Linked DNA regions of Caenorhabditis elegans. The protein of the gene in region 1 interacts with the protein of each later gene in a biochemical or structural test. Each region holds a gene or a part of one and is shown in the gene's direction. Other genes may lie near its edges.

Region 1 (7,945 bases):
CAAAACGCGCAAGTGTCAAATTTTTTATTATTTTTCCGCACGGAAACGCCTGATATGCGGAAACTATGCGAGCGAAAAAAAATAATCATTTGCGCGCATGCATATATATATTTGCAATAAGAAGCTAGACAATGCTCGTGGAATTGAAGAGACGCAGATTGTCAAATGATTCGAATATATACATCTGGCAGGTGGTTTCTCAAAGGAAAGACAGAGAGAGAGAGAGGGGACTGAGCACCAGATGTTGTCAGTTTTCAATGGACATTTATTGTGACAAGTGACCCATTGCCTAATTGAGGAGTTTACCCGTGTTCGGAGCTCAATAAACTTGCTCCGGATAAAGTTTTCAAAAAAAAATTGTGTGACTAACCATCGAATAATTGAAGGTTTTTGTGGTACGAGCAATGGTGTCGGGTTTTAAAAAATATTCGAATAAATGTTCCACATTTTAAACTTTAAAACTAATAAAAACAATTTTTTGGAACAATTTAGAAATATCCGGATATTATTGAAAATTTTGATCGTTTTTTGAAAAACGTCAAAAAAAGATTTTTTCCATCGAAATCAGAATTTTTTAGTAAATTTTATAGTTCAAACAGTAAATCAAAAAACCGTTTTTTCGAAAAGTTTCAGAAATGACCGATTTTGAATTCCTGAAAATTGGGTGATAATTTTAAAATCTAAAAAATCTAAGAAAAACCGCCGATTAAATAAATCATTGTGATTGCCAACGATAAAATACACTTTTCCCCGGTGACAGTTGACAGAAATGGTGAAAAGAAAACGGAAAAAGACCGAAATGAAGACGTCTCCCGCTGGGAAAACGACAACTTTTTGGCTGATTGACAGAAAACGGAACGAACGGAATTGGAAAATGAAAACTGAAAGGATAAGATGGGATAATAGGCATTTAGAGGTGAAGTTATTATTTCTGTTCTAGAGATCTTGGTCGTAAATCACTAAAAAGTCGGAATCGATCAAAGTGATAAAGAACTTTGAACGTTTTGTTACTCAGAGATGCTCAAACAAATATTTGTCACATTTTTCTATGCTGCTGGGAGAAAAAATTGTGAAAAAATACAAAAAATTAAGACTAATTTCAGAAAATTTTCGAAAATAAAATAAATACACGCAAGAAATGACTACTGTACTTCACTTTTCCCGCAATTTGACGTGATGTTGTTTGCGGATTCTGCATACACTTTCACGGCAAATTGCGGAATTTTAAAATTTTCCTATTTTTTGTTTTAATTTCTCTCCGTTTCTTTCGATTTTCTAGCTTTAATTCACATATTTAGAGTAATAATTCGTATTAAATATCTTAAACAATCGGAAAAAAAACGAGAAAAAACCTTTTGAGCTTTGAAATGCCGCGTTTCTGCCGTAGCCCATAAAAAATTCATTAAAAAACTTACGATCTACTAATCAAAACGGCTTCAAACACAAATGTTTCCGTTTCTCTCTCACTTTATCCCAAAACTGGACACCGATATACACTTTGAACAAAAAAGTACATAAATCGATAAGAAACCGGGTTGCGGAAGGCGTCAAGTTCATTTGAAGTTGTGCCGACACATTATGTCAGTTTTTGGGTTGAAAAAGTGTTCGGGGAGGTGAGAAAAATTGAAAAGCCCGCCGAAAATTTGCAATTTCGAGACGAGGGACTCGAAAAAAGTGTTTGAGGACGAGAAAACACGGAGGCACCCGAGCTAGGCCATGATTTATTTAAATATATTTTTCGAACGCTCCCAGCCCATTTTGCTCGTTTTATTCATTTATTTTAATGATTTCTAACCTATTTATCAATAAAAATGAAAAAATAAATTGTCAGATGGCCGAACCAGCACAGGAAACACCGTGCTTCTCAATGGAAAAGGCCGAACGGGCATTTCTCGATGGAAACTTCGAGGAGGCACTCAAACATTTCTTCGTCTGCATACGAATGCTACCAGTAGAACGACGTGGAGTCTATGAAGATCAGTTTGCTGCAGCTCTTCATGGTATTATAAGGAAAAACGTGTAATTTTCTGTTAAAAAAACTAATTTTTTTGCAGGCTGGATTGCGCTGGACCACAACAATGCTTCCCGGGCTGTCTGCCTTTATCCACAAATCAAGGAATTATTCCCGGAAACGATTCGAACGAAAATCGCTCTGATTCGTGCTGTACAAGGAACCGAGCAGAGTAAATGGCTTCTGAATTGCCTGCCGATTTGCAAAGATTCGATGGATTTGGCGACGAAACCAGAGGATTTGGTGGCTTTGAGGATTGCACGTGTCAATTTAACCACAATTCCATTCCCACAGTGGCATATTCGAATGATCAATGATGTGGTAATTAAAAACCGCTAGCATTGAATTTATTCCTGGAAAAAAATGTATCCAAACGGAATCGCAACAGCGAATTTTTAAGAAAATAGAGCTCAAATTCGAAATTTTTGAAGAAAAAGTGATAAATTCAGCTAAAATCTCAAATTTTGCTAATTTGTAGTTAATTTTTATTTATTTTGGTACACTTTCAGTCGATAGTTTCCCAAACACTGAAAATACACCTAGAATTTTATTAAAACTGGTAATAAACTACTAAAACATGCGGAAAAAGCAATAAAAACGAATTAAAGTCAGCTCAGACACGTAAAAAATGGAGAATTTGAAGACTTTATGCTAAATTTAGTTCTAGTAATGAAATTCGGACATTTTTAAAGAATTCGATACCCCTCATTTAATGCAAAAAAAAGTTAAAATTATTCAGAAACTACGTTTGATTGAGGAATAACGGATCAGAAAAGTCCCTCAAATTCAAAATTTCAAAGAAAAAGTGCTGAGTTTAGCTGAAATTTTCAATTTTGCCAGTTTGAAGCCGCCGAAAATCAGTTTTTATTGGATTTTCACTCTTCACCGAGTTTTTTCGTCGTTTAGTATCCCTAAATCAGCATAAAAACGCGTAAGAAACAACCAAAATATGCAATAAAAAGTGATAATTTAATAAAATCGAATTTAAATCCGCTGTTAAACGTAAAAATTAGCTGAATTTTAGGATTTTAGCTAAATTGAGCTTTAAAAATTTTAAATTAGTCTTTTAAACTGCAAAATAATTTCAGAAACGAAACGAAGCGTTTGCCAAAGCTCTAAACGACACTATCAAGAGCAGAATCACAGTTGTCTTCGATATTGGATCCGGTACTGGTATTTTATCGGCTATTGCTGCGAGGTAAGACTTTCAAAAAAAAAAATTAAAATTAAATTATAAATATTCTTTTTTCCAGAAAAACCAACTTGGTGACCGCTCTCGAAGAAAATATGTGCCTGACAATGATTTCTAAGGAGGTTTTAAAGAGAAACGGTGTTGAAAGTCGTGTTAATGTTCACGCAAAGAACTCGACATACTTTGAAACTTGTGAAAAAGCCGATATAGTCGTTTCCGAAACTCTCGATTGCTGTGTATTCGGAGAAAAAATTGTAGAGACTTTCTTGGACGCTCATGTTCGTTTTTCACATGACAGAACTATCTTTATTCCGCATCAGGTAACAATTTGGAATTCCGTATTTTCAAGAGAATTCTACGATGAATAATATGTTTTCTGAAAGCTAACAGATTGAAAATTCCGAATTCAGTATGAAATTTCAGTTAATTTAATTTTTTTAAATAAGAAGTACCGAAATCTGGGAAATATTTTCGAATGACTTCAAATTTTCCCCTCATTCTGAATATCTAAGTGAAAAAAATTCAAAAATAGTTTTATATTTCAGCTTAAAATCGCGAATTTTCATTTGCGTCCTCATGAGATATCCAAATTTTCGCGCCAGAGACGCCATGTGTATATTTACGAGATTTTCAATATTTATCGGATGATGATTTCAGTTTTTCAACGAGTTTCCTTCATTTTCGTCGGTTTTTGCCAATTTTTTTTTTGAAAATGTGTGTTCTTGAAGTCAATTAACCATTATATCATCAAAAACCTGACAAATTTTTCGTTTTTTGATGATATAATGTTTAATTAACCTAAAAACACATTTTCCTTTAAAAAACTTTTGCAAAAACCGACGAAAATGAAGGAAACTCGTTGAAAAACAAAATAAGCATCCGATAAAGATTGGAAATCTCGTAAATATACACAAATCTCGTAAATCGACACATGACGTCTCTGGTGCGAAAAATCGGCATTTGAAAATCTTGATTTCACGCTAAAATCAGGGAATTTTTTTGAATTTTTTCACATAGAATTCGGAATCTGGGGAAAATTTGAAGTCCTTTAAAAAAATATTTATAAGATTTCGGTGCTCAACCTTTAAAACGAATCGATCAGGGGTGTGCGGCAAATTTGCCGAATTTGCCGTTTGCCGAGCTCGGCAAATTTCAAAAAAGTAGATTTGCCGAATTTGCCGAGCTTGGCAAATTTCGAAATTTGCCGCACACGTCAAAAATTTGACAGTACAATTTTGACTAAAACTGTTGATTTTTTCGCCAAAAATTTAGTAAAATGACAACAAATTGAGTTATTTTGATGTTTAAGCAGACACACTACACCTAACTTGTTCAGAAACCAGAGGTGTGTTAAGAATTCAGTAGTTTTGGTGCTCCAAAAAATATCAAAAAATATATAATTTTTCCGAGTTTGTTAAGCACGGCAAATTTGCCGAATTTGCCGAGCTCGGCAAATTTTGAGATTTGCCGCACACCCCTGGAATCGATGATGGATCGGGGAGTTCTCGTTTTGGACGAAATCAGAGAAATTATTGTTATTCGGAATTTTAGAATATTTTTATTTTATTTTTAGAAGCGAAATTCCCATAATATCAAAATTGAAAAAGGTTTAGCTCTCAGAGAAATACAATTTGTTCTATAATCCTCTTGAAAGCATTCTGATTCCCTAATTTAATATAACTTTATTCATTTCCAGGCTACCGTCTACGTCCGTCTCTTCAGTTGTCGTGAAATCTTCGATATTCATTGTCAAGACTACGGAGGAGTTCGTTATCGATCCGAATACGTGAAAATTGGCGAATCAGATGCCGAACAACCGTACTGGTGTGCATCAGCTGCAGATTACTCTCAATTTGAACTTCTTTCTGGTTCAGTAGCCATGCATTCGGTCGATTTTAGCAGTATTGCCAATTTGAAGGATTCACTTGCCAACTCGAATTCTTTCAAAATTCGACCGGCGAAAGATGGAGTAGCACACGGATTTTCTGTCCATTTCACGTGAGATTTACTCTTTAAAAAACTTAAATTAATTTTGAAATATTCTAAACTTTCAATTTTAAGATCTGATCTAACTGGTCACGGAGACAATATCATTGACTCGTCAAAATCAAGAGCATGGGATCTTGGAATTATTCCATTCAAGGAACCATGTTTGGTGAAGTGTGATAAAGAATATGAAGGATCATGGAAACTCTTGAATAATCGATTGGATGTGTACAATGATTTTGTACGTTGTTTTTGTCGATTTACTCGATTTTGCACTTTTAAATGCAAGAAAAATTGATAGAGTTCGAGAAAATCCGATTTGAAATGTCGAACAGTTTTGGAAGTTTTACGAAATTTTTCAAAATTGAAATCTATAGGATTTCAGAGAAAATCAGAAAACTTCGGAAAAGAAAGAATCGAAGTACGAAAATTTTCGATTTTCCGGAAAACCAAAAAAAAAAAAGCAAAGAAAAATGCAGAAAATTTATATTAAAATTTAATATTTATCAAATTTTATTTATTTTGATTAAAAAAAAAAACATAAGAAAACAGATATTTATTCTTTAAAAAAATTAGAAAAATACCCAAATTTTAATATGTTTTCCGAAAAATACAAATTGTTTTCGAAATATCGGAAAAACAAGAATGTTTCGATTATTCGACTTTAGCAACATAAAAACCGTGCAGAAAAACGTAATTTTTCTGAAAATAAAATTATAAATCGAAAAAAAACTAAAAATTGTTGATTTTCCGAAAAATCTAATAAAAAAATGTTCAGAAAATCGAAAAACCGAAAATTCCGATTCCTTTTTTCAAAAATCGAAAATTTTTCGTTGTTCGATTTTGAAATTTCTCTAGGATTAAAAAAAAGCGAAAAGATTTCAATTTTAGAACTTTATAAAATTTGTTTTCAGTACGACGAAAATCTTCAAAAGCACGAGGACAGTCTTCGCTACGAGACCGCTTCACTGGATCAACTTCAGAAAATCCGTGATGATAGTTATTTCAAGGCAATGATGGGAGAAATTGATCCGATTGAACTTCCATTTACTCGTGATATTTCATCGAGTATTCCAGCTCAGTGTGTGCTTAATACTGTGGAAAGCCAAACGCCTATAAGGCATCTTATTAGTATGTCAGAAATTTTTAGAAATTATTATTTGATAATTAAACGCTCCTAAATTATGGAAAAGTCAATTCATTTTCGGAAATTTGAAAAAATTCGAAAAAAAACGTTTCTAAAAATTTGTTAGATTTTCGAAAACAAAAATCGATAAATCTTTTTGAAAAATCTATGCACTTTGAAAGTTCTAAAATAAATTTTCGGTGAAATCGACGAATTTCAGAGAAATTGAACACTTTTCTAGGAAAAAGAGGTACATTTTCATTAAAAAATGATAAATTTCGAAAAAAAAATTTGAAAAATATCTAGAAGCAATCGATAAATTTTTTGGAAAAAAAAAAATTTCAGAAAAAACCGACTCATTTTCTGGATAGAAAGAAACAATTTTAGAAGAAAAAAAATTGATTGATTCTCAGAAATTTTTTAAAAATATCGATTAATTTCCGGGAAAAAATTTTTTTTCAGAAAATTTCTTTAAAAAATCGATCAATTTTCTGGAAAAAAAAAACATTTTCAGAAAAAAGCGATAATAATTAAAAAAAAAAAGAAATTTTCGGAAAAAAAAGATTAATACTCAAAACGAAAATTTTAATCGAAAAATGTTCGAAAAAAATTTATTAAAACTCCGAATTAACTTTTACTTATTTGCAGCTAACTTCTGTCGCTACGACGGTACATTGGATCAAGAGACATTCTTCCGAATAGAAGAATTCGTTGGATTCCGAGATCACGTTCAAAAGATTGTTCCAACAAAATTCCGTATTCTTGGACATCTCTTCTATTCAGATAGAGTTCATTTCGATGCTCGACCAGATCCTTCAGCTCATTGTCAAGTCGATTTGAGTACTGTTCGAAGTTTTAATCTTCGAGAGATGCGTGATATTAGATTAACTCAACGAGAAGATATTGTGATGGCTTCGAAGGAATTCGTGTTATACGACTTTAATATTAGCGCTGAAAAGTTCCGACAGGACACATATATCACTGTAACACAGGACGTTACGGTAAGAATAATACCTATGATTGCTGAATAAATTTAGAAATAGCCTTGAAACACGGAATTTTATAATGAAACATCTGCTAAAATTCGAAGAAAATTTTTTGCGGCTCAAAATTTAGGAAAAAAAAGACTAAACCTCTTAAAATTTAAAGTTTTGCTAATTTTGTTGCAACTGTCGTAATTTAATTTTTATTACTTTCGATTTTATCCTTTTTGCAGAAATTTAGCGTTTTTTTCGTTGATATCGGGGACTCTAGGGTTAAAAAAAAAGACAAAAATCGGAAGAAAAAATTTCCGGCAATTTCGGCGATTGCCGGTTTTGTGAATTTCCGGCAATTGGCAATTGCCGGTTTTGTGAATTTTCGGCAATTACGGCAATTGCCGGTTTTTAAGATTTCTGGCAATATCGGCAATTGCCGGTTTCGAGAATTTTCGGCAATTTCGGCAATTGCCGGTTTTCAAAACTTCCGGCATTTTTTAAATTGCCGGTTTTGAGAATTTCCGGAAATATCGGCAATTGTCGGTTTTCAAAAATTCCGGCAATTTCGGCAATGGCCAGTTTTGTGAATTTTCGGCAATTCCGGCAATTACCGCGTACCCATGTTGTGTAATAGATTTTTAAAATAGAGTTTT
Region 2 (3,167 bases), on another chromosome or scaffold:
TCGATTTTTACATATTGGGAATATTGTCTTTTTTCAATATAACTATTTTCCCGTTTCATTCGTATTCTTATAATACAAATAGGGAACGAGATGAAAAGATATGATCTCTTACCTCATATTAAATGCAGTTGTTTTTCCAGACATTTTTTCCATTAACCAACCGAATGTTTCAAATTGTGCAGAAATCCTACTTCCCATTCGTATTTTTTGCTGGCACCGTGATGTTTTCTTACCATTTGTAAGCCATAATTTGCATTTAATTTTAAGTTTTTTACGGTGTAAAAACTTAATCAGATATGTATGTACCTTACGCACAAAGTAAGAAAGTCTTTCAAAAAATCACCTAGCTTTTGTTGCAGAATATTATCTTTTAAATTTCCTAAAAGCTTTTGAAAAATTCAACCAGTTTCCTTTTTTTTGAAACTTTAAAGAATTTTCAGAAGAGCCTCAAAAATTTTCAAAACTGCAGTTTTTGAAATTGTCAAAACTTTCCAGATTTCTAATCGTTTCCGGGTTTCTAGAAAAAATTTCTCCAACTTTCCCATTGATTTCCAAGTGACTAATAGGCTTCAAATACTCCTGAAATTTCTGGGTTTGTTCAAACTTTTTCGAGTTTTCCAGAACATTCTCAATGGTTCTAAACATTTGTAGAGTTGACCAGAAGAAATTTCTAAAGATCTTTTAAAGATCCTAGCTAACTTTAGCAAATTCTTGAATGTTTCCAAACTTTCAAAAATGCTCCATTAATATAGGATTCTCTATTTTCAGAAATTTTCAGAAATTTCTCAGTGTTTTCAGAAGTTTGTATTACATTTTGAAGAGTTAAGGAAATTTTCAGAAATCAAAGAACTCGAAAGAACAAATCTGTCCCATTTTTGATAGCTCGATCGAACCCAAAAATTTGAACGGGTTTTTAAATACACATAGGATCACTTGAAATATCCAGAATCGCGATTGTGAATTTCCAGTGATGTACGAAGTAGGTTTCCGGAATTTTAAAAGTACAATGCTGCAAAGTTTAGAATGTATTTATATTTTTAAATATTCTTATTCTAACAACTGCACTTCTTTACGTCCCCATAGTTATAAAAATCTGGAAGCTTGATCATCGCACAAGTAGACAAGGTTTTAGGCAAACAGTTACAGTATTCGCGTTCAAGATTGCATGTTATATGTCAAACCCACTTTATATGAAACATTTACATTCAGATTATCATTCCAATTTTGTTAGTCAATTTTCTCTGGAGTAAAAACACACACAAGGGTGCAATTTTACGACTCTTTGAAAAACTAGGTGTTTTTATGAAACAAATTAATATTAAAATTATCTCCATAAAATAAAAATAAACAAACATTATTAAAAACAAAAAAATATTAAAAATTAAATTAAAAATTAATTTTAAAAACTATCCTCATATTCGTAAAAACTTTATTTCAGTTTAAAAACAGAAGAAAAATTGGATTTTTAAAAATGTGGCCCTAAAGAGGGCCGTTGGGTTCGGTTAGATTGCTTTCAGCAATTGAATGCTTACTTGCTGGAGGTGTACTTGGTGACAGCCTTGGTTCCCTCAGAGACGGCGTGCTTGGCAAGCTCTCCTGGCAGAATCAAACGGACGGCAGTTTGAATTTCGCGAGAAGAGATGGTGGATCTCTTGTTGTAGTGAGCAAGACGAGATGCCTCAGCAGCGATACGCTCGAAGACGTCGTTGACGAAAGAGTTCATGATAGACATAGCCTTGGAAGAGACTCCAGTGTCTGGATGAACCTGCTTGAGTACACGGTAGATGTACACAGAGTAGGATTCTTTACGGGCATGACGTCTCTTCTTTCCGTCCTTTGGCTTGGTGACGGTCTTGGCGGCTTTCTTTGCTCCTTTAGCAGACGGCTTTGGTGGGGCCATTTCGATTGATTGGACTGGTCGTTGGACAAGTGTAAAGAATGGGTTGATGGCCATTTCCTTTATAATAATTCATCGGTGGGAAGGAGGAGCCTATGGACATACTGCGGGGACACATTTCTATGTAGTCTCCCCAGCCGAATACGCAGAGTGCACAGTTTTTCTCGGTCACTCTGCCACCTCCTCCACCTGCCTTGTGTCTATGTGCCCGCCTAGTCACCGCAGTTGTGTTTAAAAGAGTGTGGTCTAATGGTCTCCTTCAGATCGTTTTTACATCTACCAACCAATCATCACCATGTCTGGACGCGGAAAGGGAGGCAAAGCCAAGACCGGAGGAAAGGCCAAGTCCCGCTCATCAAGAGCCGGACTCCAATTCCCAGTTGGTCGTCTTCACCGTATTCTCCGTAAAGGAAACTACGCTCAACGTGTTGGAGCCGGAGCCCCAGTTTACCTGGCTGCCGTTCTTGAGTACCTCGCTGCTGAGGTTCTCGAGTTGGCTGGAAACGCTGCCCGTGATAACAAGAAGACCAGAATTGCCCCAAGACATCTCCAACTGGCCGTCCGTAACGATGAGGAGTTGAACAAACTGTTGGCTGGAGTAACCATCGCCCAAGGAGGAGTTCTTCCAAATATCCAAGCTGTTCTTTTGCCGAAGAAAACCGGAGGAGACAAGGAATAGATGCCTTCTTAAAACATTTTACCGAACCCAACGGCCCTCTTTAGGGCCACAAATATTTAAAATCCTCTATTGAACATGAATAAAAATTATTTTTATCAATGGTTTTTGCACGTACTTTATTATAAATTGAAAATCGTTTGCAAAGAAGAAACTTCTTTTTGGATTTGGTTGATTCACAAAACGATTCGTAATTATTTTCTTCTGTCTTACAAATGTTAATTAAAATTGGACGAGGTCATTCCAAATTCAAATAAATTGGCGCCAAATTCAAAGTTGTCATTGAATGTGACCTTGTTGAACAATATGATTTTAGAGAGGTTTTCCTGGTTGAGTATTTGAATACACGTGGTTGCAAATTCCTTAGAAACAAAGATATAGTGACGTCACAATACCTACAATTGTTTGGACCTGGATCTGACTCAGATAGGCAATTGATGACGTCATTAATGACACTTTCTGTGAGGACAGTAAAACATTTTGATATTATAAAAATATACTAAATTGTATGGCTCTAAAGTTTCCTGGTTTTGTTCTTTTTTTTTAATAAGTTAAAAAATAATGAATAATTTATTCAAATTGGATTGAAAATGA

What was found.
Region 2: of the proteins of prmt-9 (region 1) and his-3, one has a biochemical effect on the other in vitro, tested with the Caenorhabditis elegans proteins (one study listed by BioGRID).

Annotation. Positions count from the first base shown.
Region 1 is NC_003282.8:12,678,265-12,686,209, reverse strand, and holds the start of prmt-9 (PRotein arginine MethylTransferase), read left to right. Parts: upstream 1-1,831; coding exon 1,832-2,000; intron 2,001-2,054; coding exon 2,055-2,332; intron 2,333-3,099; coding exon 3,100-3,209; intron 3,210-3,264; coding exon 3,265-3,523; intron 3,524-4,899; coding exon 4,900-5,201; intron 5,202-5,264; coding exon 5,265-5,430; intron 5,431-6,103; coding exon 6,104-6,320; intron 6,321-6,963; coding exon 6,964-7,316; intron 7,317-7,945.
Region 2 is NC_003283.11:16,038,616-16,041,782, forward strand, and holds his-3 (Histone H2A), read left to right. Parts: upstream 1-2,192; coding exon 2,193-2,576; downstream 2,577-3,167. Other genes in the region: his-4 (Histone H2B 2), read right to left, coding at 1,529-1,900. UniProt on the Caenorhabditis elegans protein: Core component of nucleosome. Nucleosomes wrap and compact DNA into chromatin, limiting DNA accessibility to the cellular machineries which require DNA as a template.